Linked DNA regions of Saccharomyces cerevisiae S288C. Changing the gene in region 2 together with the main gene of any one other region gives a genetic interaction. Each region holds a gene or a part of one and is shown on either strand. Other genes may lie near its edges.

The links.
Region 1: mutations in OTU2 (region 2) and MET1 together harm fitness more than expected from each alone (negative genetic interaction), as found in Saccharomyces cerevisiae (one large-scale study listed by BioGRID).
Region 3: mutations in OTU2 (region 2) and YLR460C together harm fitness more than expected from each alone (negative genetic interaction), as found in Saccharomyces cerevisiae (one large-scale study listed by BioGRID).
Region 4: mutations in OTU2 (region 2) and MRX20 together harm fitness more than expected from each alone (negative genetic interaction), as found in Saccharomyces cerevisiae (one large-scale study listed by BioGRID).

What each region holds. Positions count from the first base shown.
Region 1 is NC_001143.9:570,018-578,765, reverse strand, and holds MET1 (uroporphyrinogen-III C-methyltransferase), read right to left. Parts: upstream 7,155-8,748; coding exon 5,373-7,154; downstream 1-5,372. Other genes in the region: YKR073C (uncharacterized protein), read left to right, coding at 259-579; phosphopantothenoylcysteine decarboxylase complex subunit SIS2, read left to right, coding at 643-2,331; electron carrier DRE2, read left to right, coding at 2,786-3,832; YKR070W (uncharacterized protein), read right to left, coding at 4,134-5,192; TRAPP complex core subunit BET3, read left to right, coding at 7,857-8,438; bifunctional glycerol-3-phosphate/glycerone-phosphate O-acyltransferase GPT2, read right to left, coding at 8,617-8,748. UniProt on the Saccharomyces cerevisiae protein: Siroheme synthase involved in methionine biosynthesis.
Region 2 is NC_001140.6:72,058-79,885, forward strand, and holds OTU2 (deubiquitinase OTU2), read right to left. Parts: upstream 6,297-7,828; coding exon 5,373-6,296; downstream 1-5,372. Other genes in the region: DUR3 (Dur3p), read right to left, coding at 1-2,187; YHL015W-A (uncharacterized protein), read left to right, coding at 2,642-2,725; 40S ribosomal protein uS10 RPS20, read left to right, coding at 3,355-3,720; YLF2 (Ylf2p), read right to left, coding at 4,040-5,257; YHL012W (UTP--glucose-1-phosphate uridylyltransferase), read left to right, coding at 6,879-7,828.
Region 3 is NC_001144.5:1,059,000-1,067,301, reverse strand, and holds YLR460C (uncharacterized protein), read left to right. Parts: upstream 1-6,414; coding exon 6,415-7,545; downstream 7,546-8,302. Other genes in the region: YRF1-4 (Y' element ATP-dependent helicase protein 1 copy 4), read right to left, coding at 1-215; YLR464W (uncharacterized protein), read right to left, coding at 218-730; YLR462W (uncharacterized protein), read right to left, coding at 738-1,346; seripauperin PAU4, read right to left, coding at 4,021-4,383.
Region 4 is NC_001138.5:240,299-248,371, reverse strand, and holds MRX20 (Mrx20p), read right to left. Parts: upstream 6,375-8,073; coding exon 6,363-6,374; intron 6,291-6,362; coding exon 5,373-6,290; downstream 1-5,372. Other genes in the region: RMD8 (Rmd8p), read right to left, coding at 238-2,226; BNA6 (nicotinate-nucleotide diphosphorylase (carboxylating)), read left to right, coding at 3,206-4,093; centromere-binding protein CNN1, read left to right, coding at 4,213-5,298; DUG1 (metallodipeptidase), read left to right, coding at 6,935-8,073.

The DNA.
Region 1 (8,748 bases), on a different chromosome or scaffold from region 2:
GAAATAGGCTTTCCGGAGCATCAAACCTGAGGTTTCATAAATTGTGTTCGTGAAGGATGCATTCCAGAGGGCCATCCATCCAGCATAAAAAGAGATCTACAAAGCAATTATGTGGTTTCGCCATTATCCGTAGGATGACCTAAAAAATGGTAATGATTCACGTGATCTAGAAACTTTAACGTGTTATATCATTCAAGGCGTAACTTATACGCGCGGGGTACCCTATCATATCTAACACACGTACCCTGGGTTAATGCCATGATCGTCTTTGATGTATCTCTAATGATCATTATTATTTTTTCTTTTGCTTTTAACATGAGTCAAAGCAATATTCTTATGTTATATAACTCACCCCATGTGCTCGTGGGCAGTGACGCACGCAACTTTTTCTCTTGCAAAAAATGGCATCGATGCTTTTCTGGGGAGGTGATATTAGAGGAGAAGAAGTCACAGAGTGCTCTTGGATCACGATCCCTCACTTGTACTTGTCCACTTATCAGCGCCGTCCAGTTACATTTGGAGAGATCTTTTTTTAGCCTGGCCTTCTTTGCTGTCATACTACTTTATATTCCGGGATAAAATATAAAGAAATATTAGTTAGGAAAAAATTAATAGGGAAGAAAGATCTAGAAGCAAACAGCAATGACTGCCGTCGCCTCTACTAGCGGGAAGCAAGATGCTGACCATAACCAGTCTATAGAGTGTCCAAGGTTTTCGCGTGGACAGAAAGAGATTTTGTTGGACCATGAGGATGCGAAGGGGAAGGATTCAATAATCAACTCCCCCGTGTCAGGGAGGCAATCAATAAGCCCTACTTTGTCGAATGCTACTACCACGACTACGAAATCTATTATGAATGCCACCGGCACCTCCGGCGCAGTAGTAAGTAATACTCCGGAGCCTGGTTTGAAGAGAGTCCCCGCCGTCACTTTCAGTGATCTAAAGCAACAGCAAAAGCAGGATAGTCTGACTCAGCTGAAGAACGACTCAGAAAGGACCAAGTCTCCAAATAGTAATCCTGCTCCTGTCTCAAATTCCATTCCTGGCAATCATGCAGTTATACCGAACCACACCAACACTTCAAGAACAACGCAATTATCTGGGTCTCCACTCGTCAACGAAATGAAAGATTATGATCCTAAGAAAAAAGACAGTGCTCTTAAAATAGTTGATACCATGAAGCCTGACAAAATCATGGCCACTTCAACGCCAATAAGTAGAGAAAATAATAAGGTAACCGCCAAAGCCCCCACCAGTATTACACTTCGAAAGGAAGATGCACAAGATCAAGCTAACAATGTTTCAGGCCAAATTAATGTGCGTTCTACCCCGGAAGAAACGCCAGTGAAGCAGTCCGTCATTCCTTCCATCATCCCCAAAAGAGAGAACTCCAAGAATTTGGATCCCAGACTACCTCAAGATGATGGAAAATTGCACGTGTTGTTTGGCGCTACAGGTTCGTTATCGGTATTTAAGATCAAGCCAATGATTAAAAAACTAGAAGAAATATATGGACGTGATAGAATAAGCATTCAAGTTATCCTCACTCAATCAGCAACACAGTTTTTCGAACAAAGATATACCAAGAAAATTATCAAATCTTCAGAAAAACTAAATAAAATGTCGCAGTACGAATCCACTCCGGCAACTCCAGTGACACCAACACCAGGACAATGCAACATGGCTCAAGTAGTCGAGTTACCCCCACATATTCAACTATGGACCGACCAAGATGAATGGGACGCATGGAAACAACGAACTGATCCTGTACTTCATATAGAACTACGTCGCTGGGCGGATATACTGGTAGTAGCTCCATTAACTGCAAACACATTATCAAAAATTGCTTTGGGCCTGTGCGACAATCTTCTGACAAGTGTCATTAGAGCTTGGAATCCGAGTTATCCCATTCTTTTGGCACCTTCTATGGTGAGTAGCACTTTTAATTCTATGATGACAAAGAAGCAACTACAAACGATAAAGGAGGAAATGTCCTGGGTCACTGTTTTCAAGCCGTCTGAGAAAGTTATGGATATAAATGGTGATATTGGTCTCGGGGGTATGATGGACTGGAATGAGATTGTTAACAAAATCGTTATGAAATTGGGTGGGTACCCAAAAAATAACGAGGAAGAGGACGATGATGAGGATGAGGAAGAAGACGACGACGAAGAAGAAGATACAGAAGATAAGAACGAAAACAACAACGATGATGATGACGATGACGACGATGACGACGACGACGACGACGACGACGACGACGACGACGACGATGATGACGAGGACGAGGACGAAGCAGAAACCCCAGGTATAATAGATAAGCATCAATAAATAGTCTATGAATTACAAATACACTAAACACATTCTACTTATTTGTGTTTTGTAATTTCTGGAAAAATACTCATTAGGCAAATTCACGCAGCATATTTACAAAATGTCACAAATTTTTTTCCTTTTTTACTTGCAGTAGGTATGTAATGCCATACTAGCGTACATAGAGCTCTTCATATAAACCGCTATTTATTACTAATTTTAATAATTCAGTAATTCATTAAATACATTCATTACTTTCTGGGTAAATATCTATTCGTTTCTCATTTTTCTTTTTTTGACATATCCCGGTACCGGAATAAGTCCGATACTATTCAAAAGCTTCTGGAAAAAAAAAATAAAAAAAAGAAATGATTAGTAATCATTTAATTTCATGACATATTAAAAAGGTATTCTAAGCAGAAGTCTTTCATCACATTTGATCTAAGCATATACACTGTAAGTGAAGGTATCGATGTCACAATACAAAACTGGTTTACTTTTAATACATCCGGCGGTGACTACAACGCCAGAGCTAGTAGAGAACACTAAGGCTCAAGCTGCATCAAAGAAAGTCAAGTTCGTGGACCAGTTTTTAATCAATAAACTAAATGATGGGTCCATAACTTTGGAAAACGCAAAATATGAAACAGTACACTATTTGACGCCAGAAGCCCAGACTGATATTAAGTTTCCGAAAAAGTTAATTTCTGTCTTAGCTGACTCATTGAAACCAAACGGCTCACTAATTGGTTTAAGTGATATTTATAAAGTAGATGCATTAATCAATGGGTTTGAAATAATTAACGAACCAGATTATTGCTGGATTAAAATGGATTCCTCTAAACTAAACCAAACTGTTTCTATACCACTGAAAAAAAAGAAAACGAACAATACTAAGCTACAGAGTGGTAGTAAGCTACCAACTTTTAAAAAAGCTAGTTCTTCAACCTCTAATTTACCCTCATTCAAAAAAGCAGATCACAGTAGGCAACCTATAGTTAAGGAAACAGACAGCTTCAAACCACCTAGTTTCAAAATGACCACTGAACCAAAAGTCTACCGAGTCGTAGACGACCTGATTGAGGATAGCGATGATGATGATTTCTCTAGTGACTCTTCCAAAGCCCAATATTTTGATCAAGTGGATACCAGCGATGATTCCATTGAAGAAGAAGAATTAATCGACGAGGATGGTTCTGGTAAGTCAATGATTACTATGATTACATGCGGTAAATCCAAAACTAAGAAGAAGAAGGCTTGTAAAGATTGCACCTGTGGTATGAAAGAACAGGAAGAAAATGAAATAAACGATATAAGATCTCAACAAGATAAAGTTGTCAAATTTACAGAAGACGAGTTGACCGAGATTGATTTCACTATCGATGGGAAGAAAGTTGGCGGCTGTGGTTCTTGTTCTCTAGGGGATGCCTTTAGATGTAGTGGTTGTCCCTACTTGGGTCTTCCTGCTTTCAAGCCTGGTCAACCTATCAATTTGGACAGCATTTCAGATGACTTGTAAACCCTGCACATTCGTTTCAGTAAATGACGTCAATTGGTCTACTTTGGTGAAGGTGAATTTTTTTAGATGCATTGATCGATTGACTTTGGTAGGTTACTAATTTTACCAAAAAGAGTTGGTAGTTTTTATTTTTTTAAATAGAAGAAAACAGGTACTCATTATACCGTGATTACCAATTTCCCAACCCATTATTTAACCCGTTATGTATATTGCATATATTTTGTAAAAGCGTTTAAGCTATTAATAAATCTATCATAACAGTACAGCTCAAAGGCAGGAAAAGATATTCCATAGTAGTCTTTCATGCGTACTTTTCTAACGTTTTAGTAACCGCATCAAATACATCATTCACGATCAAGGTAGGCTTACATTCCTTTAAGTCATCACCTTCGTTATACACACCTGTCTTCACCAAACAACTGTTCCAACCGTAATTTTGAGCTCCAATGATGTCACTTGCAGGATTATCACCTACCATAAAAACCGCATGGAATGGAGAAGTTGAAGGTTTCGTGCCTAAGAGTGGCAGTTTTTGCTTCACAGATTGGCCTATTTTCCCGCTTAGTCTTTTTTCCCAATCAATGAGAACATGATGAGCGAAATCATAAGTCAACTTTGTAGGCTTACCCAAAGTATAATCTTGCAAGGGTTCACCATTTAACTCGAGATAAAGCCTTCTAACTAGTAAGCGGAAGGCACCTTGTCCAAATCTATTCAATTTATAAGGATTGGCCCACAGTAAATCCTGGTTCGAAAAGTAAATGGGGATGGAAGGTTTGCCACTCTTTTCGTTTCTCAAGGTATTTAACATCCCATTTTCGCTGTTGATTGCATCTGAGATGATTTGTATATCGGCAGCCCAATCATGAGGATCGTTAAATACCAAGACGGCATCGAATTTCTTAGTGGTTAAATCTGGAATATCCCTTGAGTACTCCATCACTTGTTCATCAGATAGCCCACTAAATGGTGCAATGTCCCTATTGTATCTTACAATATCCGTTTGGTGAACAACATCTTGAAATCCGTAGCCTTCTGCAACGCCTCTCACGGAAGGTGTACCAACGGCCAAGATCCTTGAATATTTGTTAACAAGGGACTTGTAAGGAGTATGACTTTGAATAATTTGCAAGGGTGATACATCAACGTCCAATTTACTCGAGATAAACTCTGTCCGTGCCCTTTCAGAGAACCCTCCACCATTAGTGAGTAAAATATATGGAATTTTATTTCGGTTCAACAGCTTCAATGCGTCGCTGGCACCAGCAATTGGCTTTTTGCCCCTGAACAACACACCATCAATATCGAATGCAAAAGCAATCTTTTTACTTGTTGTTTGGAAAAACCGTTTGCCAATCATTCTCGCTGCTCTTTTGGCTTGCCAATATTTTGACGACTTGGTTGAAGGACCTTTTCGGGCCTCGGATACGTCCTTTTTGCTCAATATCCAGTGTTGATGAATCTAGAACATAATGCATACACGATTAACCTTAAAACTTTAACGTCAGCGTTTGAATGATATCTTGTCTTTATATACATATTAGTATAACTTAAATAGACTATCTACATCAACCTCAAATTCTCTAAAACCTTCATCAATGACAAATTTTCTTGATTCGTCAAAATTTATCAGATCTTTTTCAACCAATGCATTCACAGCCTTGCCTACAACCAAGACACCGGGGGGCCTTGAACCAATCTCCTCCACGACTTCTGGTACCCATTTAAGAAGAGTTCTAGTAACACGCTGGTCAGGGCACGATCCTCTCTCGACAATTGCAGCGGGGACATCACCATCCCAGCCATGCTTCAATAATCCCGTGATCAGAACGTTGGCGCGATGCAGTGCCATTAGAAAGACGGTGGTTCTGCTTTCAACAAATTCAGGAATTATAGGCAGAGCGCCCTTTCTCCCAGTCCCAGTACATATGAGCACTTGGTCTGCTATATCACGTTGAGTAGCGGGTATCTGAGCCAATACAGTACAAGCTAGGGATGAGCTTATGCCCGGTAAAACCACAGGAATATATCCGTGATCTTTGAAGAAATTAAATTCCTCGCCACCACGGCCAAAAATATACGGATCACCTTGCTTCAAACGGACTACTTTCAATCCATTATCCAACGATTCTAAACCTTTAGCTAGTAATTCCTGTTGTGCTCGTTCTGCATTACCGGGAAATTTTTTGGCTATGAAGGTTTCAGTTTTTGGAGGTATTAAATCTAAAATGGCTTGCGGTACCAGTTTATCTGCCAGTATTATATCTGCAGACTTTATTTCTTGTAATGCACCTATCGTTAGCATAGATACCGAGCCTGGACCACTTCCGACTAAAGAAATCTTCCCTAGTTTTTTAGGTCCCTCCTCTTTTTTCACTTCCGATAATTGTAGTTGTTTTGTACCGTTTTCAATATTTTCATCGGTAGGAGGTACTACACCCTCTGTGACAGTTTCCTGCTTTGTCTTTTTATTTGGAGAAGATGAAGTCTCGAAATCTTCCAACTTGATGTCACTCAGCTTGTTCATCGGGTAATACTCCATTATCTGAGATAACCATCTGGTTCTCTTAAGTCTCTGTTCTCTACTGGTCATTTCAAATTCACGAATTAGCTTATTAAACTTATGGCTCTCCCAACCGTCCTCATCTAAGCCGTAGCCAAATCCAGGTAATGACATGTCAGTCTGGTAGTACTTTTCCTCTAACAAGGCCTTATGGTCTTCGTTTATAATACGGTCTTTCAAATACCCCATGTTTATCACCACCTCAGATATGTTTGGAGGTAAGTGTGATATTATATCTCTTTTTATCCTGTTTGCCAAGATGTATCCATTCCCATTCGTAGTAACTGAGATTTGTAAACCACTTCCTTTTGGGTCGACCCACGTAGGAATCATATTGAAGGTAGAAAACTCTGGTTTGTGGAATGTATTTATGGGAATTCTCAGTTTTTGGCATTGCCAAAAGATCTCCTCGCATAGGCGACTTTGTGTTATGGGTAGATCTACGAATACTCTATCCACTACCTTGCATACCAGAACTCTCCCCAAAGTAGTTAAATCAGATAACCTAAACTCCCTTTCTACTATTTCGAACTTTGCAAACTTACCAAATTCCAATTGTAATTGTTTAGTATGGCTTGGTGACGAGGGATTCACTACTATGGGATTACCACCAGCATTCAAAATGGAGTGGATTCTATTCTTACAAACGCTTACTGAGTCCGTGGACCCTGTACCAATAAGCAAATGAACCTGATCAGTAGCAAAACCAGCAGTAATCAAGGGCAGTGATGAAGGCAATGTCACTAAGTCTCGTACCATTCTTTTGAAATTTTCTTAGTTTATTTATCACTCTATCCGTGCTTTTTTTAATTGGGATGGAATATCTGAGCAATTCTAAATGAAGCCTACAACTTTGCAGAAACACATAAGTAAATTATATATATATATCATTTTTTTGACTTAAGCATACTCGACTTTTGTAGCGAGTTTATTAGCGATGATTCACATAGTGAAGCAAATTTCATTATGAGTCCGTTCACAGTTTATTATGAGAGCCTTTTTTCACCACAATTTGTAATGTCACGTGCATAATGGCATTTCTAGAAAGAGAAAAACGTATAAAATGATTCAAGTTTGACGTATCGTATATAAAAAGGTCGAGAAACCAATAACGAAAATAGAAAATGATATCTTTACTGTTGCTGTAGTTGTGATTTCTACAGTTGCGAGCAAATATGTTGGACTCAGAGAACGAGGATTGTACATCTTGGATATAAATAGATAAATAAGCGCTATTCTATGCACCTTGACAGCAGGAGCCAAAAATTTGAAAACTTGCGAAACTCCAAGCCAAAGGTAAGGCCAACCTGAAAGTGTTACATGTTACCCGGTTTGGCCAACATTGAACTTAATATAATAATAACAGAGTAAGTGATCGTAGCTGTGATTACCCATAGCTATAGAGATGGGAATGCAGAGTAAAGCTTCAAGTGTTCATTGATAACCAAAACTGGGTCAAAAATGGTTTCTACCACGCAATCGAGGTCTTTGAAGGCCATGGGAGAAGAGATCTGGAAAAATAAAACAGAAAAAATTAATACAGAATTATTTACGCTAACATATGGGTCCATAGTGGCACAATTGTGCCAAGATTATGAACGGGACTTTAACAAAGTGAATGATCATTTGTATAGCATGGGATATAATATTGGGTGTAGACTTATTGAGGATTTCTTGGCTAGAACGGCATTGCCACGCTGTGAGAATTTAGTGAAGACAAGCGAAGTACTAAGTAAGTGTGCATTCAAAATATTTTTAAACATCACACCCAACATAACGAACTGGTCGCATAACAAGGATACTTTTTCATTGATTTTGGATGAAAACCCATTGGCTGACTTTGTGGAGTTACCCATGGACGCTATGAAATCGCTCTGGTATTCCAATATATTGTGTGGTGTTTTGAAAGGGTCACTTGAAATGGTGCAGCTGGATTGTGATGTCTGGTTTGTGTCGGATATCTTGAGAGGAGACTCTCAGACGGAGATCAAGGTTAAGTTAAATAGAATTTTAAAAGACGAAATACCGATCGGCGAAGATTAGTGGACATGTAAGCTTTTTTTTTTCGTGATTTTTGTTATTATTGGTGTCGTTATTTAGGTATACATTATTTTCCTACGTAGAAATGTTATCCTTAATGTTTTTGTTCAGTAGTTACTTTCATATTATATTATTTACAAACATTGTCAAATGCTTTTTTTTTTATTTTTCTATTTTTTGATCATTCTTTCTTTTCGTGTTCTCTTTTCTGTCTTACCAGCGAAGCAATCTTCGAAGATATATTTGTGTTGCGACTGTTTTCCTTATTTAGATCAGAACTTCGTGCGGTTTGTACTATGGCAGGATTTTTCTC
Region 2 (7,828 bases):
TCCGAAATGTGATGATTGTCTATGTGCTCTCGCACTAATTTGGCTTGTTACTACATGCAGATCTTGTGGGTTCGAATTTTGCCATTCCCTTAATTTATAAGTTTGACCAGATAGATCCCAGTAAAGGCCTCGCAAAGTGGTATATATACCATGCCTACCTTCCCAGAGTGGATAAATACAAACGGCAAACGCACTGAAAAAAAGCCAGATGATCATCACAACAACCCAACCGGTAAAGAATTTTTTACTGAAGATATATTTGGAACCATACATGGGCATGGGCCAAACTACCAAAAATGCCAAAGCGAAAAAAACACATAGGAAGTATGCAATTTTTAAACCACGTGCTAGTTCTCTTTGTTCTTCGTCTAATTCATTTTGTAACTGTGTGTCATCTTCTTGAAAAATGGCATTACTTATTACAACACCAAGGTTAGGCTCAATCAATTTTTCATTATTTACTCTAACATCGTTTTTTTCACTATCTGAGACCAGAGAATTTGTTTCTTCTTCTTGTTCCTTATCGTTAGCTTCAGCATCGTAAAGCTGGATATCAGGGTCAGCCTGAACTAACTCTGCAGTTTCGTCAACTCTAGTAATATCTTTCATTTTCTCCCAGTCAAAATTTTGTGGCTTAAACACATACGTTAAAATAGGAATAAAAATGGCTGGTGATAGCAAAGCCACCAAGTTACCTGTTAACATTGGATAATCCATGAACGTAGTATCCACGGTCAATTCTTTATAAAGGGATTTGGTACAGACAAGCCATGACATTATAGCCAGTCCTGTGCCCAAAATAGGCGACACTACAGCGGCCACCAAATTCATGTCTTTGGAACATAAGGTCAAAACGACAGGTAATACTGCACTACTAATAATTATACCCATCATTTCATAGATATAACCCATAGAAATACCACCATAGTATAAACCAACCGAAAATCCACTCATGGCAAGACCAAAAAAGATACAAGCAACGTGTGATGTGTAAATCAATTTCTTACCGCTTGCACGAGGATCAATATATTCTCTATAGATATCGTAAGTGAAAACAGATGAAACGGCAATTAGTTCAGCAGACATAGCAGATGTGACGGCCATGAAAATCATTAGCAGCGATGCCACAGCACCCCCCTTACCCATGATAGCAATTGCAGCTGCCGGCAAGACTAACCCAGAATTTGCCTGGAACGAAGTAAGTGGATCAGGATAGGTGGGGAAGTTCGGAGACGTTTCCACCGCAAGACATGCTAATCCCATGGTCAATGAAATCAAAGAAGGTACTGCAAACCATGCTAACCCACCGATGGCATATGCTTTCAAACTCGCTGCGGGACTAGCAGAAATCGCTTTATTCCAATAACCATTATCAAGGAAAACGGTGCCGAAATTTCCAATCAGGTTAATAATTAATAAAATACCAGCGGATTTGGATGTCATGGTCATATATTCACCCTGATAGTTACCGTCTACTGGATGCCTCTTGGCGGCTTCACGAACTAAGTCATAAACTTTTCCCGGTGAGCCTAAAACATCACTAGTCGCATAAACTTTAAAGGCAAATACGAGGACAATGATGATAATGACACATGTGTGCATATAGTCCGTTAAGAAAGTTGCTTTAATCCCACCAAATAGAGTATAAACAACAACACCCACAGGCAGTAAAAAACATGATGCGATAGTGTTCATCCCGGTTAAATCACTAAAGACAGCAGAACCTGAAGTTAAAAGCATTGAAGTGACTAAAATATTCGTCGCGATGGCATAAAACAAGTAGCAACCATGGCCGATCTTACCATATCTTGTTCTCACTAATTCTAAATATGTGTGCGCATTGGGAGCCATTTGCTTGGTTTTAATTGCCAAAATTGCGAATGCAATAATTTGGAAGCATGCGCCAGCAGCGTACGCATAACCGCCAAATATACCGTCTGCATATTCCTTTGTTGACGACGTTAACAATGTAGAACACCAGATCCAACTAGAAACCACGGCTGCAGCCACTAAGCCGGTTTTTACAGATCTACCGGCGGTGGTGAATTCTTCTGCTGTGATGATTTCCTTTTGATAACGTTTCAGTAAATAAGTGGTCAAAACCATCATTCCTGCAAATACGGCCCCTAGGCCCAATACAATAGCGTACCCAGCGCCTTGAGGTAGCGGAGGTTTAAATTCTCCCATACTATAACAATGACAAATTTATGTTATTACTTTTTCTTGGATGAACCCAATTTAAGAATCTAGACAAGGGAAACTGCTAACAATAGTAAAGCTACGGCTATACTACTGCTTCATTTTATATACTTGGCGAACAAGACGTATCTTCATGCAACACCGATGAATAGAGCACATCTTGCCTGTTATCTAAGGATAACCGTACCGTAGAAAGCGCAATGATGAGTTACACCTTTCCCATAGGTACGCCTGCTTGTTTCTATGCTGCAACTGACTATTGGCCTGTCCACTCTCGAGCATTATTGTCTGTCGCATTTGCTATCATAAAATATCCCGATAAGATAACACCCAAATGTGCGCCGCCTCATTTCATCATCGGAAAAAAGGTGCGGCACCAATAGATAAACAGAATTGGAATGCCTAGTTTGAGTCAGCCTTGCTGCATAAAACAAATACCTGTATGACTGCTTTTGCATCTTTAAGAGAACCTTTGGTCTTGGCTAATCTCAAAATTAAAGTTCATATCTACCGTATGAAGCGCTGATAAAGAGCGCCAAATCTGCACCTTGTGCATTTTGTTCACACATTCTTGGCGCTCCTAACTGGAGAAACGTCTATCATTGAGGATAACTCCGGATAGTCGCATTCTGATTGAATAGCCGTCTAGCTCCCTATTGTGACTAGAATACTATTGACATCGTTTTCTCATCAAAACCTCCCGATAAAGGGAAAAAAAGAATTATCTGACCAGATCATTCGGAAAAATGCGTATCGTCATTGATATCCTTCTTGTCTTGTCTGCTGCTAACACTATTTACTATGGAAAGAGAGATTTCCCTGAAACTTCTTATTTTTATCTCTATAGAAGGGGAAAAGATAAAAGTAAAAATGTAAAAATGTTTACCTGCAAGTTCACACCTGTACATTTTCTACATCCGTAAACATAAGAGAAAAAATGCCACAACTATTTTTATGAAGATAAAGTTCGGGTAACGATAATGTTTTAATTTTGAAAAAAAAACTTCGACGCATTCGCGACTAGCCTCAGAGATTGAGTAATAGACCGTATTGAATTCAAAATAATAGTAAAGATGGGTTATTTCATTCAAGCTCAGCTTTAGATTGAAACTCCTACAAGAAAGCAAGTAAAATAAACAAAAAGGTATATACAAAATGTCTGACTTTCAAAAGGAAAAGGTTGAAGAACAAGAACAACAACAACAACAAATCATCAAGATTAGAATCACTTTGACCTCCACCAAGGTTAAGCAATTGGAAAACGTCTCTTCCAACATTGTCAAGAACGCTGAACAACACAACTTGGTCAAGAAGGGTCCAGTCAGACTACCAACCAAGGTTTTGAAGATCTCCACCAGAAAGACTCCAAATGGTGAAGGTTCTAAGACTTGGGAAACCTACGAAATGAGAATCCACAAGAGATACATCGACTTGGAAGCTCCTGTTCAAATCGTTAAGAGAATCACTCAAATCACCATTGAACCTGGTGTGGATGTCGAAGTTGTTGTTGCTTCCAACTAAGCTGGTTCTAACTGGAAATAATTTCCATTAGATTCCTCTTTTTCTCGTCCATTAACCAAAATATATTATTGAATTCAGCGGTTCCTTTTTTCTCATTTTCGCATATAGCTGCACTATTAGAATCAGCCCACTCTAGGTAAACACAGTTCCTCGATATACCTCTGTCTTACTATCAGTGGTTAAACCTTATGCAAATATAATATATATATATATATATATATATATATCTCATACTTTTGTTGATTCTTGTGTAATTATTGGAAAAGACAAAACAAAGCAAGCGTTTCTATTCATATTTACAAGTATTTTTTATGACAAACTATTTCTTAATTTTCCCACCGGCGGCTTTGAATAAGGCAATGTCATTGTCCTGCATAATATATTGTTTGCCTGCACGTTTGATAAGTCCCTTAGATTTTAGTAAAGACTCATTTAGCGGTGGTTCCATCTTCTTCAGATCGTCATATTTTATTACATCAGCGCTGATAAATGTTTCACGCAAGTCGCTATGGATTACACCCGCGGCCTCTTGAGCGGTGGTTCCCTCCCTTATATTCCATTGGTGAACTTCTTGTGGGCCGCATGTAAAGAAGCTAATTAAGTTCAACAACTTTCTCATTTCTAGTATTATTTGCGGTATCGCAGAAACTAACTGTTGATCAGAAACATTGGTATCTTCCTTGATCTTGTCAAAATACTCTGACGCTATGCCTTTACATTCCATCAATTGCGATTCAAATTCTGCACTGAAAAGTAGGAATTTATCTCCTGGCGAAAATTCGTTAATCCATTCTATAATATTTCTGACAAATTTATTTTCATTCCTAACGTAATCTTGAGGTGAAACATTTAGCAATATCAAAGTTGGTTTGGAGGTTAAAAAGTTATGCTTATTCAAAATTTTGACTTCATCCAGGTTCCAATGATCTTTGAAATGCCGGATTTTTTTACCGTTAAACAAATGTTCCTCTAATGCATCTAATAATTCTGTCTCTATCTTCATTTCCTGATGTTCTTTAGAATTCTTCGAAACCATTCTCATCTTCTTACTAAGTCTTTCCCTAATGTTTTCCAGAAATTCTAAGTCTTTCAAGATGAGTTCATCTTGTACCACGGATAGATCTCTGACAGGATCAACATTACCTTCTATATGGGTGATGTCTTCCTTTAAGAATCCTCTCACCACTTGAAATATCCCCTCTACGTGTCTGATATCGTTTAAGAACTTGTTACCCAAACCATGGCCTTGAGATGCGCCTCTGGTGAGCCCAGCAATATCATATATTGTGAGTGTTCCAGGTACGCATTTCGCACTCTGATATATTCTCAATAAATTAGAGAGCGGCACGCTAGGTATATTGACTTTGGCACATTCTGCGTCAATGGTAGCGAATGGATAATTTGCAGGATTTCCCAATTTTGAGTTTGTTATTGCTTGGAAAAAAGTCGATTTACCAACATTAGCAAGCCCTACTATCCCTGAAGTTGGATTATTCGATATCCTCCCAAGTAAAAATTTTCCTCCACCAATGTTCATATCCGATTATTACTTCTCTTTATTCTTTTATATCCATATGCTTCAAACTATACAATTAAATAGATGCATTAAGGTTTACAAATAAGCATATCTCATTAGATACGGATGGGAAAAATCAAGAATCATGCAATGAATTATAATGCTCACCTAATGCATAGCTGTGTTTATAGTAAACTAGCTTCAATTCAGGATTTTTCCCACATTCATTGTACACTTGAATAGGTCTTCCACTCATCAGAATGCTAATGGGGCAGTCGAAAACGTGAGAGAGAGCCAAAATCTCAATTTCACCACCCCATTGAGCTGTATGCTCCATCTCTTTCGTATACTCATCAATGTCTTTCATCTTCATAGTTTCTTCATCAAACAAATATGGAATGAAATCATCCCTGTGCTCCTGTACGTAATTACAACTCAACCATCTCAGCTTCATGACATCCATGTCTTGATCCAGTTTTTTTGGATCATGGCGTAATTTTAACTGATCTAATATAGATGCAAAGAGACAGTGGCCATCGGGTTGTATATCGAATTGTTTCAGTTTCTTCAACTCGCATAACTGATCTATAGACTCCTGCTCCATTTTTTTCAAGTCCGGTTGTTTGGATGCTTCTAAAGCAGCCTCTTCTTTCATTTTAGCAATTGCTGCATCTCTTTTGGCCAATCTTTCCTTTTGTCTATTGCGACGCTTCTTTGTCTGGCCTTGTTGCTGTTGTTGAACGGGAACATTCTGTTGTTCTTTCTCATCTCGAGATATGGATAGTTGTTCTAAAAGTTTTTCAGGAGTCACTTCATCTTCTTGTTCTGCGTCAAACACTTCATTATTTGCAATTTTCCAATCCCTTATTTCATTTTCTTGCTTAGTCTTTAGTTTATCTTGAAGATCTAGGCATTTCGAATTAACTTCTTTCCTTTTGGATTTAGTAGCCTGCTTTTTCATACCCGTTATCTTATTCTGTAAATCTTTATTTTCCTTGCGATGTCTCGCCAAAATATCTTCCATGTTTTCCAAATTCTCTCCTGATTCCATGCCGGTCATGATGAATATCTCTTGTTCTCTCTACTAGATTGAATGCTGTGCTTTAGTTGGATTTTGTATTAGATGCTTTCGAGATGCCCAAACTAAAAACAAGGCGTGAAGAAAAAGAAATTTCGCGACGCATAATAATACTTTCTTTGACAGGGCCAGGGCTGCCAACTTTTCAGATTTTAACAATTGAGAAATTTATTGTGGTAAGAAAACCATAAATTTCCACTCTGTTGGAATTAAAATTTCCTGTATTGAACGAGAGTAGAAGCACACAATTTTCTTGAAGAAAAAGTAGTTAGTCTTCCATAATGTTCAATGGCCTTATCACACAAAAAAAAAAGAATGAAAGTACTATCAGCTTATAAGTCCTGATTAATTAAAAAAAGAATGCAGGAATAGCACCTTATAGTAAAAAAAGTAAATTTAAGTAATTAAATATAACTATACTGTAACTTTTTTGAATTGTATTTTCCCTGGCATTTACAATCTTTTTGTAACCTGGAATTTAACGATAACTGACACAAGTGATTCTTGATAATAAAAAAAAAAAGGAAAAATATTTCACTGTTCTACATAGTATATACAAGATCAATGACGGTTTTCTCTGGAGTAAATAAAATAGAGTTTGAAGGTACTTTCGAAGGTATTGGAAAGGATGTTGTTATGTCACAAATGATAAGGGCCTTGCAGAAACATTTTCCTTCGATACGTGACAAGAATTATGAGTTTAGCCTATTTTTGCACATTTTTCAAAGATATGTCTTAGAAAATACTTCAATCACCCATGATCTAGTTTGTGACAAAATTAGATTACCGATAATTGATGAAGTGGTTGAACTCGATGATATTAAAAATTACGGTTTGTTAGAGGGTAAACTATTATCAAAGTTAGCTATTTTAAAATTAACCGGAAAGGCTAATCCAATCATTGGTAAAGAAAGCCCTTTATTCGAAGTAAAAAATGGGATGTCTTCATTGGATGTAATAGTTCGACAAACGCAAAATTTGAATGTACGATATAATTCAGACGTTCCTCTTATATTTATGACCTCGCTTGAAACTGAATCTCAAGTATCAAACTTCCTTGAAGAGCATTATTCTTCTAGCAAAGTGAGATGGAAAACCGTAGTTCAGTCAAGCTTTCCACAAATTGATAAAGATAGATTATTACCTATCGATTTACAAATAAATTCTCATGAAAATGATTTTTGGTATCCTTGCGGGACTGGTAACCTAACTGACACTTTGTATTTTTCAGGAGAATTGGACAAATTAATTGCTCAAGGAAAAGAGATTTTATTTGTTTCAAATGTTGACAATTTGGGCGCTACAGGAGATTTGAACATTTTAAATTTCATCATAAATGAAAAAATCGAGTATCTTGTTGAAGTAGTTGAAAGGACTGCAAATGTTTCAAACACTGGAGTGTTGGCAACATATAAAGGTAAACTACGATCGGTTTATTACAACTGCTTATCCAATGAAAGTGCAAGCACGTGTCGAATTGTCAACACTAATAACATTTGGATTGATTTGAAAAA
Region 3 (8,302 bases), on a different chromosome or scaffold from region 2:
TTATTTTTAAGAGCCGCGGTCATTTTGTTAGTATCTCTTCTCAACTTGGGCAGCACAATTTCACGATATTTAACAGGTATCATTTGAAAAAAAGAATCGTTTTCCAGATACTCGTCAATTCCTCGCTTCGGTTCTCTGAACAAAACTTCTCGATTACGCAAAATGAGGCTGGCATATGGAAGCAGTTGTTCAACTCTCCCCAAAGTTTTCCACATACTGATATACCATCAGAAGAAGGTACCAAAGTTATTCTATAAGAGTCCTTCAGCGTGGTTTCCTGCGCTACTTCGTGGTACAGAATTTTGATCCATTTCCACATTGCAACGCCGTTGTTGTCATCAAATATATCTAAATCCCTTGCGGTACAAGCACAAGACGACACCAATAAAGCTTTCACGGCATCTAGTGTTTTTCTGAGTCTTCGTGGAGTGTTAGGACTGCGCAACTTACATACTTTCAGGCCATGCTCGTCCACAGAGGGAATAATGGGTTCTTCATTCGTAATAGATCGATCCTCTTCGTCACCAGCGCCACCACGGGGACCCGCCCCGAAATTGAGTGCACATGCTCGCAAGATAATATGCAAAATATCACCCAATCGGTCCTTTTTGTTCATCATATCGTTACATATCTGTGAAAAGTACTTTATCTCAATGGGTTTACGTGGGCATAGATCACGCTTCAGCCGCTCTGTGTCGACTTTCTTTTCGCCAGGTAAACTTGCTTGCATAGCTCATCTACGTGTAGGCTGCCAAATTGTACCCATATTTCCTTATGGTGCTTTTCTGAAGACTCCTTACAATAGGTGCGCCGGAAACAAAGTCAGTGAAAGTACGCATCGTAGAGCTGTCGTTCGGCCTAGCACTCGCTATTTCGTGACAACGTTCCAGGACACGGAAACTCAACTCATTATAGTATCCTCTGTTGAGGTAAAAAAGAGAAAGGGTATCGTAATCCTTTCTATTGAATTTCAAAGTATGCACTTGAAACAACGTGTAGACCATCAAGTTGATTTTCTTGGGAACAAGATACTTTGAAGGGATTGGTCCGCCCTGGAAATCTGGTTCGTCTTCAACAAACGTCAGGAACTTTTTTACATTTTTCCCGACCATGACGGAAATGACAACTTTTTCAAAAGACCTTTTCCTATCCATTGCACCAGTTCTGAATTTTACCACTTTGATTAGGCCAGACTTTTCGTCTTCGTAGAATGACCGCACTTCCGTGGGGATCGATTCAAATAAAGTTATTGAGGGACAATGTACCAAGTCGTTTTTGTTATTTAGAGCCGACTCAAACTCGTCAAAGTTTGCTTTTTCAAACTTACGCCTATCGGAAACTTTCATTTTATTTTTGTAAGTTTCGAAATTAACAATAGTATGTTGATTTTTATGCTTTTTGACAAGAAATCCATCAATATAAACAAAAGATTGTCCAGTTTTCGTCTTATCATCATCTAAGAATGTAATAATTAAGCTATTGAGAAGATGCAGAATCTGCGCTATGCAGGTGCAGCAAAAGCAAACAAAATCTCACTAAGATAAGCGACTGTCTGTCCCCTTCAAGCACAACATAGAAAACAGAAGGATGTCTCATTCATCGCTTGATTTCCGGCCTGCAAAAATAAAGTAGTCGGTACGTACTTTCGTTTTCAATTTCCATGGTGCACAGTATCTTAACTATCTGCTTAGTCGAGGAGAACCAGGATTCTGTTCGTTGCTCAGCCGCTTCGTGGATATTCTCTTGGATACTTTAAACATGGACCTACGTTCCGCTCTCGAAAAGACCAATATAATAAAAAGTTATAAATTACATTTCCTTATTAGGTATACGACCTCGCGCTTCGAAGTAGAGGAGCCCTTTTTGGCGTACCTACATATGGCGCGTCAGACAGACAAACTTCCCCCAAAAATGTATTACCCCGCCGAATAAGAAAACAGACCCATTCACCAACGACGTATCAAGTTACTTCCTTGGTTTGCAATGTCCCACTATAAAAAAATTCCTTGACGCTAGATCTTTGGGCTAAAATCTGCGTCAAACAGGAAATATTGCCTATTTTCGTACAAGGTTACTTCCTAGATGCTATATGTCCCTACGGCCTTGTCTAACACCATCCAGCATGCAATAAGGTGACATAGATATACACACCACACCCACACCCACACCCACACCCACACCCACACCACACCCACCACACCCACACACCACACACACACACACCACACCACACCCACACACCCACACACCACACCCACACACACACACACACCTAACCCTAACACTACCCTACTCTAACCCTGATCAACCTGTCTCTCAACTTACCCTCCATTACCCTACTCCCCACTCGTTACCCTGTCTCATTCAACTATACCACTCCCAACTACCATCCACCTCTCTACTTCCTACCACCAACCCACCGTCCACCATAACCGTTACCCTCCAATTACCCATATCCAACTCCGCCACCACTTACCCTGCCATTCCTCTACCATCTCCCATCTACTACTCACCATACTGTTGTTCTACCCACCATATTGAAACGTTAACAAATGATCGTAAACAATACACATATACTTACCCTATCACTCTATACCATCACCACCACTTGCCACACTCACCTTCACTTGTATACTGATATGTCATACGCACACGGATACTACAGTATATACCATCTCAACTTACCCTACTCTCATATTCCACTCCACTCCATGGCCCATCTCTCACTAAATCAGTGCCAAATGCACTCACATCATTATGCACGGCACTTGCCTCAGCGGTCTATACTCTGTGCCATTTACCCATAAATCCCATGATTATCCACATTTTAATATCTATATCTCATTCAGTGGCCTCGAATATTGTAAAAATGCTCTTAATACATACGTTATATTACTTTTGCACCATATACTAACCACTCAATTTAAATACACTTATGCCAATATTACAGAAAAATCACCACTAAAATCACCTAAACATAAAAATATTCTATTCTTCAACAATAATACAAAAACATATTGACTTGGAGTATGAACACTACCATGACGTCATTAACGTAAAAGTTCCTTAATATTGCAGTTTGCTTGAACGGATGCCATTTCAGAATATTTCGTACTTATGCAGACCATACATTAGAATAATATGCTACCTCACTGTCGTAACACTCTCCATTCACTGTGCTATAATATGGTACTGTGTTGACACTCATGCGGGTGCTATGATAAAATTGTATCCTATTTCCATTCCCATATGCTATCCGCAATATCCTAAAAGCATAACTGATGCATCTTTAATCTTGTATGTGACACTACTCATACGAAGAGACTATATCTGAACAAGACGATACTGTGATAGGTACGTTATTTAATAGGATCTATAACGAAATGTCAAATAATTTTACGGTAATATAACTTATCAGCGGCGTATACTGAAACGGACGTTACGATATTGTCTCACTTCATCTTACCACCCTCTATCTTATTGTTGATAGAACACTAACCCTTCAGCTTTATTTCTGGTTACGGTTACACAAAAACTATCGCAACCCAGAAATTTTGATATTTTCAGTGTCAAAAAATGAGGGTCTCTAAATGAGAGTTTGATACCATGACTCCGTAACTCGCACTGCCCTGATCTGCAATCTTGTTCTTAGAAGTGACGCATATTCTATACGGCCCGACGCGACGCGCCAAAAAATGAAAAAAGAAGCAGCGACTCATTTTTATGGAAAGACAAAGTGCTGAGAAGTCATGCGCTTCCAATTTCATTATTGTTTATTGGACATACTCTATTAGCTTTATTACCATCCACCCTTTTTCTAGAATAGTGTAAAAGTTTCTTTTTATGTTTATCGTATTCATAAAATGCTTCACGAACACTGTCATTGATCAAATAGGTTTATAATATTAATATACATTTATATAATCTACGGTATTTATATCATCAAAAAAAAGTAGTTTTTATTTTATTTTTCATTACTTTTTACTGTCTATGAATTTTCATTCGTAGAGGCACTCGTCCCTAGTTTGCGATAGTGTAGATACCATCTTTGGATAGAGCCTTGGAGATAGCTGGCTTTAATCTGCTGGAGTACCATGGAACACCGGTGATCATTCTGGTCACTTGGTCTGGGGCAATACCAGTCAACATGGTGGTGAAGTCACCGTAGTTGAAAACGGCTTCAGCAACTTCAACTGGGTAGGTTTCAGTTGGGTGGGCGGCTTGGAACATGTAGTATTGGGCCAAGTGAGCTCTGATATCAGAGACGTAGACACCCAATTCAACCAAGTTGACTCTTTCGTCAGATTGAGCTATAGTGGTGGTTGCGGAAGCAGTAGCAGCGATGGCAGCGACACCAGCGGCGATTGAAGTTAATTTGACCATTGTATTTGTTTTGTTTGTTAGTGCTGATATAAGCTTAACAGGAAAGAAAGGAATAAAGACATATTCTCAAAGGCATACAGTTGAAGCAGCTCTATTTATACCCATGCCTTCATCAGTCATCACTATTTAAACGATTCGTTAACAGACGCTCATTTAGCACCTCACATATCCTCCATATCTCATCTTTCACACAATCTCATTATCAGTATGGAAATGCTCTTGTTTCTGAACGAATCATACATCTTTCATAGACTTCGTATGTGGAGTATTGTTTTATGGCACTCATGTGTATTCGTATGCGCAGAATGTGGGAATGCCTATTATAGGGATGCCGGGGTACCTTGAAAAACCCTTTTGCGCGCCTGTGATTTCCGTTTTCGGTCAAAAAGAATATCTGAATTTTAGATTTGGACCCTCGTACAGAAGTCTATTGTCTAAGCCTAATTTCAGTGCTTTAAACGGCTTCCGCGGAAGAAGCATTTCTATCTCTTGAATTCGTACAACATTAAACGTGTGTTGGGAGTCGTATACTGTTAGGGTCTGCAATTTGTGAACTCTCGGCGAATGCCTTGGTGCAATTACGTAATTGTAGCCGCTGAAGGCGGATGGTATTGAGAGAAGTTGATGTTCAAAGTATCGTGTATGATAAAAATAAAATTGTAACCAGTTCGTAGTAGCAGTATTAAAACTTTGCACAGAGGGAAATATTTGATTCCGAGATGTAATCCCTCTTTTCTAGCCAGATATGAAGGAGAAAAGTGTAAGGGTAGTAGAGAGCGCTACTTTATTTTATTTTATTTTAAAAATGTTCTCTAGGAAAGGTGTATTAATAGTTGATAAAAAAAGTATTTTGTCTTCTATGTTCATAATTTCAATTCTTGAATTTTGGAAATCGTGAAATGCTTCGAGAAACCGCCTTCAATAATTAGAAAACAAAATAAAAGATTACAATTAGGCCACTCAAAAATACAATTCAGATAAGAAAGGAGCGATAGTGGGGAGTAAGAATTGGAAATACCCTTGATAATCAGGGAAAACTTAAGGAACGGGGTGTTAAAAGTCTGTGAAGTATAGATCAAACTCGCACTAGCTAGCAATACTCATGAGAACCCATGTGAGTCTAAAGCTGTGAAACTTCTTTAGAAAGCAGAGCATCCTCTAAGTTAACAGTTTTCCATACTTATTCAGTATGGATCAAGTTCCACAGTTTGTCAACTTCTGTAAAATAAACTTGTAGTGCTTCTTCGATGAAAAGGGATAGAATCTTTAAAAGACTTGATCTTGGCATTTTTATCCTCCTTCAAGCAGAATGGCTCCAGTAGAGTTGTTCTGAACGCTTCTGGGCAGTGAGCAGCATTGAAGAAAAAGTACTCAGCATTCCAAGCTTTGTTTTCATATAATTATAAATTAAAACTCATAGCCACCAATTTCCAGGTTTTGGTCGCAATATGCTGCAGAGTCAATGGCTTGTTTCATTACTATACTAGTCCGACGGAGTTTACTTTACTCTAAATTTTCTGAAATAGAAAGGCCACACGCCATACAATTAACAATAGTTCATTTAGTTGAAAGGTTTCCGAGATAGAAAGTGCGGTAGTGGAGAAGAACAATAAACGTATCAAACTTTGCGCAGTCATGGAATTTCCAGGAAACATTTTTAGGTTTTCATATGACAGCAGTTCCTGTCCGAGAGCTGTGCCTTTCTTGTCTCAGCTGACTAAGATGTCTCGGATCCGCCCGGCTGACGCGCGGCTCCGTCTAGTGGGATAGGCTTTCAACACATAGAAAACCCTTCAGATGATGAGAACACATCGAATCCCAGAGAGTAATATCACTAAGAATAAAGCAACCATGATAGACGATATTACTAAGTGTTCCTCAACAGATATTGAGAAAAGTTCTTATAAAGCGGGCAGGCTTTTTTCTATTTTTTTCTTTTTCTTTATCTAGCTTAAGATCTTTCTAACCATATTCTATAAAATGGCAAGCTGAATACAGATTATCAACGACAATTACAGATAACCTACAAACATGCAAGTTGCAATTCCAGAAACCATGAAGGCTGTCGTCATTGAAGACGGTAAAGCGGTTGTTAAAGAGGGCATTCCCATTCCTGAATTGGAAGAAGGATTCGTATTGATTAAGACACTCGCTGTTGCTGGTAACCCCACTGATTGGGCACACATTGACTACAAGATCGGGCCTCAAGGATCTATTCTGGGATGTGATGCTGCTGGCCAAATTGTCAAATTGGGCCCAGCTGTCAATCCTAAAGACTTTTCTATCGGTGATTATATTTATGGGTTCATTCACGGATCTTCCGTAAGGTTTCCTTCCAATGGTGCTTTTGCTGAATATTCTGCTATTTCAACTGTGGTTGCCTACAAATCACCCAATGAACTCAAATTTTTGGGTGAGGATGTTCTACCTGCCGGCCCTGTCAGGTCTTTGGAAGGTGTAGCCACTATCCCAGTGTCACTGACCACAGCCGGCTTGGTGTTGACCTATAACTTGGGCTTGGACCTGAAGTGGGAGCCATCAACCCCACAAAGAAAAGGCCCCATCTTATTATGGGGCGGTGCAACTGCAGTAGGTCAGTCGCTCATCCAATTAGCCAATAAATTGAATGGCTTCACCAAGATCATTGTTGTGGCTTCTCGGAAGCACGAAAAACTTTTGAAAGAATATGGTGCTGATGAATTATTTGATTATCATGATATTGACGTGGTAGAACAAATTAAACACAAGTACAACAATATCTCGTATTTAGTCGACTGTGTCGCGAATCAAGATACGCTTCAACAAGTGTACAAATGTGCGGCCGATAAACAGGATGCTACAATTGTTGAATTAAAAAATTTGACAGAAGAAAACGTCAAAAAAGAGAACAGGAGACAAAACGTTACTATTGACATAATAAGGCTATATTCAATAGGTGGCCATGAAGTACCATTTGGAAACATTACTTTACCAGCCGACTCAGAAGCTAGGAAAGCTGCAATAAAATTTATCAAATTCATCAATCCAAAGATTAATGATGGACAAATTCGCCATATTCCAGTAAGGGTCTATAAGAACGGGCTTTGTGATGTTCCTCATATCCTAAAAGACATCAAATATGGTAAGAACTCTGGTGAAAAACTCGTTGCCGTATTAAACTAGATGACGAACAGATATTATTTTCTTTCATATACATAGTTATTACGTTTAGTTATAGTGACTTAGTTTTTTTTTTTTTTTTAATGAAATTGTTTGTTATTGATCACCCCTTGTAGGGGCAACAGATGAGCACAGTGAAAATCATAACTCATTATGTGATTCGTTGTGAGTAACCCTTCCATGATTATATATCCTAACTATCTACTATCCAACTACTACATATCTATTGAACTCATATGTACCAAGCACATAAATTTATGCACCCATTTCCATTGGCAAAGACTTGGCGAAATTTAATACACTGTAATAATATCCGGCGAAGCTCTTTAAGTATTCTTACCTATAATGGCGGCTCGCTGTCCGAACGATTGCGCCGCACTTTTCTGCCTCTTACATTCCTTTTTCCTAAGGCGATAAGCAGGCTGAATGGAAACTACAATATATTGCAATAGAGCTTCCCCAAGGAACTCCCACTTTCCTTGGATTATTACAAAGAGAGTTTTACCTTTTAGGTCATTCTCACAGCAGATCCAAATATGTAGAACCTGTTTTAGAACAACAAATAGAAATGATGTGTTACAGAGTACCGTTTAAACTGAGTCATCACGTAATATTCTAATTATGTTTTTTTTTTTTAAATTAGCTAATGTAAACAGGCTGGAATGTATGGGAACTCATCACTTCGTAACTGATTCCATCTTCTATCTACCATAACTTTAAAAAAGATTATCGATAGTCTAAAAATACGCGATACACATTC
Region 4 (8,073 bases), on a different chromosome or scaffold from region 2:
TAGTCTTCACTATCGTCTTTTTCTCCTTTGTTGATGCGAAAGATGAATTTACATATTCGAGTCCCTTAGTCATATTATTGTACTTTTAATGCAATCTTGAGGGGAGCCAATCAACGAGTGGTTTTACTTGCACGTGACCAAGAATGGTAATAACGGTGAAATATATGACTAAAAACCTTGATAACTAAATATATCATTAATTTATTTTTAATGCCGTCTAGAAGGGTGTATGAATATCTATGTAGAAGTATGACGATGAATAATTACATAACGAACGAAAATCTCTGTTAATGAAAATATAACTCCAAATAAAATGACAAGAATAAACCACCATGTAACACGAGCCATGTTTCTTTCAGCAACAGAGTCAACGCATATATCAAAGAATTCCAAGAAAACTTTGCAACGATCATTTAATACTTGTACTCTTTGGTCAATTTCTAAATACTCCCTCATTGCCACGTACAGTGGATGCAAACTTGGTTCGAACGACCAAAAAAACTCGGGTGTATCCAATATGGTGGATGAAAGGTTAACATCCACTCTCAATTTAAAGAGCTTCCCTGATTTTTTCAAAAGCTGTTCCCTTTTTAACCCAAGGGTACCATATAATGCTAGTCTTTTAGGTAGTTTTGTGACTGATATTAAAATCGGCGAAATTCTGGATTCAAACCTTGATAATTTCGAAGATTGCGCAATCGCATGTGATAGTGTCAGCTCGATAATGTGGTCACCTGAACGTAATGTGACAATATCATTGAAAATTCTCGGTCTCTCGGTATCTCTGTCATATTCGAAATGGAATTGTTCAGTTTCAATATCTTGTTCATCCAGCGGCCGGATCATTAAATTCTTATAATCTGCAAATGTTATATCACCAAGAATATTTTTCTCTTGAATTTCAGTAAAGTTCCAAAAAACAATAACGCCATAGTGAAAAATGAAAATTTCTGCATGTCTATCATTGCCTTCATGGTCGTTGTCCCTATGCATTTTATATACACGATCAAAATCATTCTGTGATGAAGATGGTGGCGATGGCGTAGATATTGATGATGGCGAAGCTGGTGAACGAGAGGACTGTACATACTGATCGTTTCCCTCAACAGCATAAAGTTTACTCTTATCATTATTTTTATTATTATTATCGTTGCCACAACTTGCATCACTGTCGTTTTCCTCCTTCTTCAGCATGTTTATTCTTTCTGTCCTTTCCCGTTTCTCTATCTCTAAGGGAGTTTCTTCCGCAAAAAATTGTGGTTCCATAGGATTAAAAGAGTCTTGCTGACCAACTGGATTTGGTAGATGATCGGGAACTGTTGTGGTGTCTTGATTAGCGTTATTGTTATTTCCACTGGTTTCTAGTTCGTAATTATTATTTGCATCTTCCACAGTTTCCACACCTGAGTAATATTCATAATGATGATCTCTCTGTTCGCTTGTATCAATTAAATTATCAATTAATGTCTTTCCACCCATTGTTTTCTTAGATAAATTTGATTTGATTCTAAAACCGCCTTTACCTGGTAGAAGTGGCAAAGTATACGCAACGTATAGACACTCATCATACAATCTTGGTGAAACCTCATGAGTTTCCTGCAGAAACTTATACAATTGGTTGAGATTGAAGCCATCAGCAACATTATATGCGGTGATTCTTGCCATGGACTTTTCTTTTGAGTATCGAGGTAGCCGATCGAAGGAATTAGACTTCATAGAGCCCACTTTCGGTCTTTGCCTATCCAGCGCGTTCGTTGGTAGAGTTTGAAAGTGGTTCAAGTTGTCGTCTTCCGGTATCAACACTAACTTTTGTGACGTCTTCGATGTTCTTGGAGGCAGGGGATTGATCATCTTTCTACGCGAACTTAACCGCTCATATTGGCGAGGCCTATCGCTTGAAGAGCTGGATAGCCTTTCCTCTCTTCTGGCAGAGGGAATATCTGAATTATCAGAAAGAATATTATCTATGGATATATCGCTAAACCTGCCAGACGATCGCCTTCTTGGATGAGTAAAACTCTGCAGCGGAGAAGGGCCAATAGCGGAAGAGCGAACTCCTTGAGACTTCGTAACTCCTGCGTTTTCCATATTCTTCCTACTACCAGCAGCGTGTCCAGCGAACGGTGCACTCATTCTATTCTTGGATGTTCTTGCATCTGTCACCAGGATGGAAGGTGACCTTTTCGGCATCTCCCCAGGAGATGGTTGGTTAGCCTTATAACTCATACTGTCGTCTTAAATGGAAGTCCTTTCCTTTGCTCCATATGCAATTTTGCATACGAACTTCCGATTGATATAATCTTGTATTAATGTATGCCTAACCTGGTTTTGTTTTTCTTGTAGGTTTTTCTAGCCAGTTTTACTATAAATTGTCACTTTTTCCTAGTAGTCAATTTGAAAAAAAAAAAAATATATGGGTAATTATAATAACAAGAAGTGTTCTTCTGATTGTCGGAGATGCCTCTAATGCCAATGCACAGGCTTCCATAAAGTTTTCAAGCATGACAGAAAGCTAACTTGTCTTTTACTTCTTTGTTGGGCACACTTCTCATTTTTAAAAAAAAGATTTCCACCTTCACGATCATATCTGAAATGAACTGAATATTTTGTTCTTGTGAGAATAAACTTGTCTACTAATCGCAAATTTTTCAAGATTAACCTTCCGCACCCATTGAGGTACTAAACTGATCTACCCTACCTTTCCTAAATACCTAATGTCAGGTACATAATGCCAGCGACAGCTCAAAATCACGGGATACTAATTATTAAATAGTAGTAGCTTCTTCTCCACGCACAGTTCGATCGAAGGAGCTAATATTCGGCTTGTCATCTTCCATGGCCAGTAATTTTTTTTATTGTCATTTGGGACTAATGAGATGGAAACTAGAATTGTAGTTATACATCCTGAGGTTTCTATCAACTTGTGTGTCACAACGTTTTATATACTTGAATGCGTAGTAGCAAACCCCGGCAAGACGTAAGTTAACTTGTCAAAGGTACAAGCTTGGTTACAAACAATGTGATATTTCGCTCCAGGATATTTTTGCTTTTGGTGACGCCGGTTGGTTGAAGAGCCCCCATTTATCATGACTCCTACCGCAGTTTTCGTATATCTTGGGCCATAAATTCGAAAATTAAAGACACCACTTAATAACGCAACAAAAAGAACGCAATCCTCAGAAAGAACACACACCAAAAAAAAAAAATGCCTGTTTATGAACACTTATTGCCCGTTAATGGAGCATGGAGACAAGACGTCACCAATTGGCTGAGCGAGGACGTTCCTTCTTTTGATTTTGGTGGATATGTTGTTGGTTCCGACCTAAAGGAGGCCAATTTGTACTGTAAGCAGGATGGTATGCTGTGTGGTGTCCCCTTTGCGCAAGAAGTCTTTAATCAGTGCGAATTGCAAGTTGAGTGGTTGTTTAAGGAAGGCTCCTTCTTGGAGCCTTCGAAGAATGACTCTGGTAAGATTGTTGTAGCTAAAATTACTGGGCCCGCTAAAAACATTCTATTAGCTGAAAGAACCGCCTTGAACATCCTTAGTAGAAGTAGTGGAATTGCCACCGCCTCACATAAGATAATCAGTTTGGCGCGTTCGACTGGTTACAAGGGGACCATTGCGGGGACAAGAAAGACTACACCAGGTTTACGTAGATTAGAAAAGTATTCCATGCTTGTAGGTGGCTGCGACACGCACAGATACGACCTTTCCTCTATGGTCATGCTCAAAGATAATCATATTTGGGCTACTGGTTCTATAACAAACGCAGTTAAGAACGCCAGGGCCGTGTGCGGGTTTGCTGTGAAGATCGAAGTGGAGTGTTTGAGTGAAGATGAAGCCACAGAGGCCATTGAAGCTGGTGCAGACGTTATCATGTTGGATAATTTCAAAGGTGACGGTTTGAAAATGTGCGCCCAAAGTCTTAAGAACAAATGGAATGGTAAAAAGCATTTCCTCTTGGAATGTAGTGGAGGCTTGAATTTGGACAACCTCGAGGAGTATTTGTGCGATGACATTGACATTTACAGCACTAGTAGCATTCATCAAGGCACACCAGTGATTGATTTCTCATTGAAACTGGCTCATTGAAAATGCTTAGGCTTCGATTTTTACTTTTTTTTATTTACATATTCTAAATAAGATTAAGAAGCTACGCGTTACCGATTAATGACACACACGACGATTAGTAACGAAATAAGAAATGAATAATGAGCACTCCCAGGAAGGCCGCCGGTAACAACGAGAATACAGAAGTCTCAGAGATCAGAACCCCCTTTCGGGAGAGAGCCCTTGAAGAACAACGTCTCAAGGATGAGGTACTGATCAGAAATACGCCAGGTTATAGAAAACTTTTATCTGCTTCTACTAAGTCTCATGACATCCTCAATAAAGATCCGAACGAAGTACGAAGTTTTTTACAAGACTTAAGCCAAGTGTTAGCACGCAAATCACAAGGCAACGATACAACTACTAATAAAACTCAAGCACGGAATCTAATAGATGAATTAGCGTACGAAGAGAGCCAACCAGAGGAGAATGAGCTTCTTCGGAGCAGAAGTGAGAAACTGACAGATAACAACATTGGCAATGAAACGCAACCTGATTATACTTCCTTATCGCAAACAGTATTTGCAAAATTGCAGGAAAGAGACAAAGGCTTGAAAAGTAGGAAGATTGACCCGATAATAATACAAGATGTTCCCACGACAGGACACGAGGATGAATTGACAGTGCACTCTCCAGATAAAGCTAACAGTATCTCTATGGAAGTTTTGCGCACGTCGCCAAGCATTGGAATGGATCAGGTAGATGAACCGCCAGTACGTGATCCGGTACCAATTTCCATAACGCAACAGGAAGAACCACTATCTGAAGATTTACCAAGCGACGATAAAGAGGAGACAGAAGAAGCAGAAAACGAAGATTATTCGTTTGAAAACACCAGTGACGAAAATTTGGATGATATAGGCAACGATCCTATCCGTTTAAATGTCCCTGCGGTGAGACGTTCTTCTATAAAACCGCTGCAAATAATGGATCTAAAACATCTTACAAGGCAATTTTTGAATGAGAATAGGATAATATTGCCGAAACAAACGTGGTCTACTATACAGGAGGAATCTTTAAATATAATGGATTTCTTGAAACAAAAAATCGGCACGTTACAAAAACAGGAATTGGTAGATTCGTTTATCGATATGGGTATTATCAATAACGTTGATGATATGTTTGAGCTCGCGCACGAATTGCTTCCCTTAGAACTTCAATCAAGAATTGAAAGTTATTTGTTCTAAAAAAGATACCGTAGAGAAAATAATTAAATAGTGGCAATTTATGTACAGAAAAGAGTAAAAGATCCACAAAATTATCAAGACCTGGAAGAGAAGCCTAGTAACAAACTAACCTGTTCATAAACAGTGAACGTTAAGCCTCCTGAAATACCGACTTTCATAAACCTAAAGATGGAGCCCTTCCAGAATGTGGCCATGCCTTCTTGAACAAATATTCTATACATGCAATTTAAGGTATTTTTATATTCAGTTTTGGCATTTTGACTCATCATCCTTGTTTTTACGACGTCAATGGGCTGAGTCATTGCCACGAGTGTAAAAGATGTGGCTAACCCCGTTATTACTGAGGATGCCTTGTCGTTTCTTGCTTGTAACAACCGTTTAAATGCTGTGTATGCAGTAAATTGAATAGAGGTGTTAGCTATCTGCCTAAATATGGTGGCTGTTGTTCCCTGGACGAACGCAGCAGGGCCTCTTGTTTGATACATGTGTTTTACCGCTGGAAGTAGTTTCTCGATACGAGCCACAGGAGTAGATTTAGTCGCCACCTTGTGAAAGGTTGCCTTTGCGTTAACTACAGGTTGATTCTTCTCTAATTTTTTATGATCGATCATCGCCGATTGGATAAGGGTGGTTTTTATGTTTTCAAAAGGGATAATAAACAAACTTTCTACTATTCCTGTCAACGTACCAGCGATCAAAAGGTTATAACCAGTCAGTCTTTGAAAATTATCATTATTATCAATGTTATTATTCAGGGAGTGGCATAACTTGTCGAACGTAACGAACCTTAAAATAGTCTTACCAAATGCGGCCACGTTTAGGGCAGAGCAGCCAACAAAGTACGACTTAATCTGAGGTAAAATGATTTCGAAAGCGGTACCCTTCGGTTGCAATTGTAAACCAGTCTTTAAGTACTCAAATGGGTATGTCATTGTCGTTTGAAACACAGCAGCTACACTGCCGGCAGTGATTTGCTTGTAAAGGTCAGAGTTCTGCAAACGAGAAAAAAGAGAGCGTTAATAAAATAGCATTAGCGTCTTGGAACGAAACAGTTTACTACTTACCTGGTTAGCCATGTCGGGTGCTGTTCTTACTGCCCTTTTTTTACGATTCGACTACCTGTGAGAGCAATTACTTTTTCAATTATATTCGATTGAAAAATAGCTTAATAAGGCGGAAGAAGTTCCCACTTCTGTTCAAAGCCCTTTAAATTAAACAACCTAATAAAATCAGCAGACGCAAGAAGGAAAAACCTCTGACACCCTTTCCAGAAGTTATGTTGACAAGAAAGTTTGAAATTTTTGGATTAATAAGTCGATTTTATTATGACTAGCGAAGGCGAACTAAACAAGAAGTCGATTAAATCCCTCGAGTGATTGATAACTCCACAACACATTTTGTGCGCCAATCGGTGGGTTAAATACTCGAGCACATCTTTTAGAATAAGTATTCGTATTCTTTTAAGTTGACCAATGCCACAGCATATTTTAGCAATATCCCTTATATTCGTCATTCAAAACGGCTACAAGAAAATGTGTCAAAAAAAAAAGAGAGACTATAATAGCAACATGTTGTTCTTATCAATTGAATCTCCCTTCATTGTTAGTTCAGTTGCTCCAGAGCATCGTACACAAGCATGTCTCACTCACTTACTTCCGTTTTCCAAAAGATTGATTCTTTAAAGCCTCAGTTCTTCAGCAGACTGACTAAGGCTATTCAAATCCCCGCTGTTTCTTCGGATGAATCACTAAGGTCCAAAGTCTTCGATAAGGCCAAGTTTATCTCCGAGCAATTATCACAATCGGGGTTCCATGACATTAAAATGGTGGATCTGGGCATTCAACCTCCACCAATTTCTACGCCAAATCTGTCTCTACCTCCTGTGATTCTGTCTAGGTTCGGCAGCGACCCTTCAAAAAAGACTGTGTTGGTTTACGGTCACTATGATGTGCAACCTGCTCAATTGGAAGATGGTTGGGATACTGAGCCATTCAAGCTTGTCATTGATGAGGCTAAAGGTATCATGAAAGGAAGGGGTGTCACCGATGACACTGGTCCCTTATTATCTTGGATTAACGTTGTGGACGCCTTCAAAGCCTCCGGACAAGAATTCCCCGTTAACTTAGTTACTTGTTTCGAAGGAATGGAGGAAAGTGGTTCTTTGAAATTGGATGAATTGATTAAAAAGGAAGCTAATGGTTACTTTAAAGGTGTAGATGCCGTTTGTATTTCCGATAATTACTGGCTAGGCACTAAGAAGCCTGTTTTGACTTATGGTCTAAGAGGTTGCAACTACTATCAAACCATCATTGAGGGTCCAAGTGCAGATTTACACTCTGGTATCTTTGGTGGTGTTGTTGCTGAACCAATGATCGATTTAATGCAAGTTCTCGGTTCCCTTGTGGATTCTAAGGGTAAGATCCTGATTGACGGTATTGACGAAATGGTTGCTCCTCTAACCGAAAAGGAGAAGGCTCTATACAAGGATATCGAATTTAGCGTCGAAGAATTGAACGCTGCAACTGGCTCTAAGACAAGTTTGTACGACAAGAAGGAAGACATCTTGATGCACAGATGGAGGTATCCTTCGTTGTCCATTCATGGTGTGGAAGGCGCCTTTTCCGCTCAAGGTGCAAAGACTGTCATTCCAGCTAAGGTCTTCGGTAAGTTTTCCATTAGAACCGTCCCCGACATGGATTCTGAGAAACTGACCTCTTTGGTCCAGAAGCATTGTGATGCCAAATTCAAGTCCTTGAACTCTCCAAACAAGTGCAG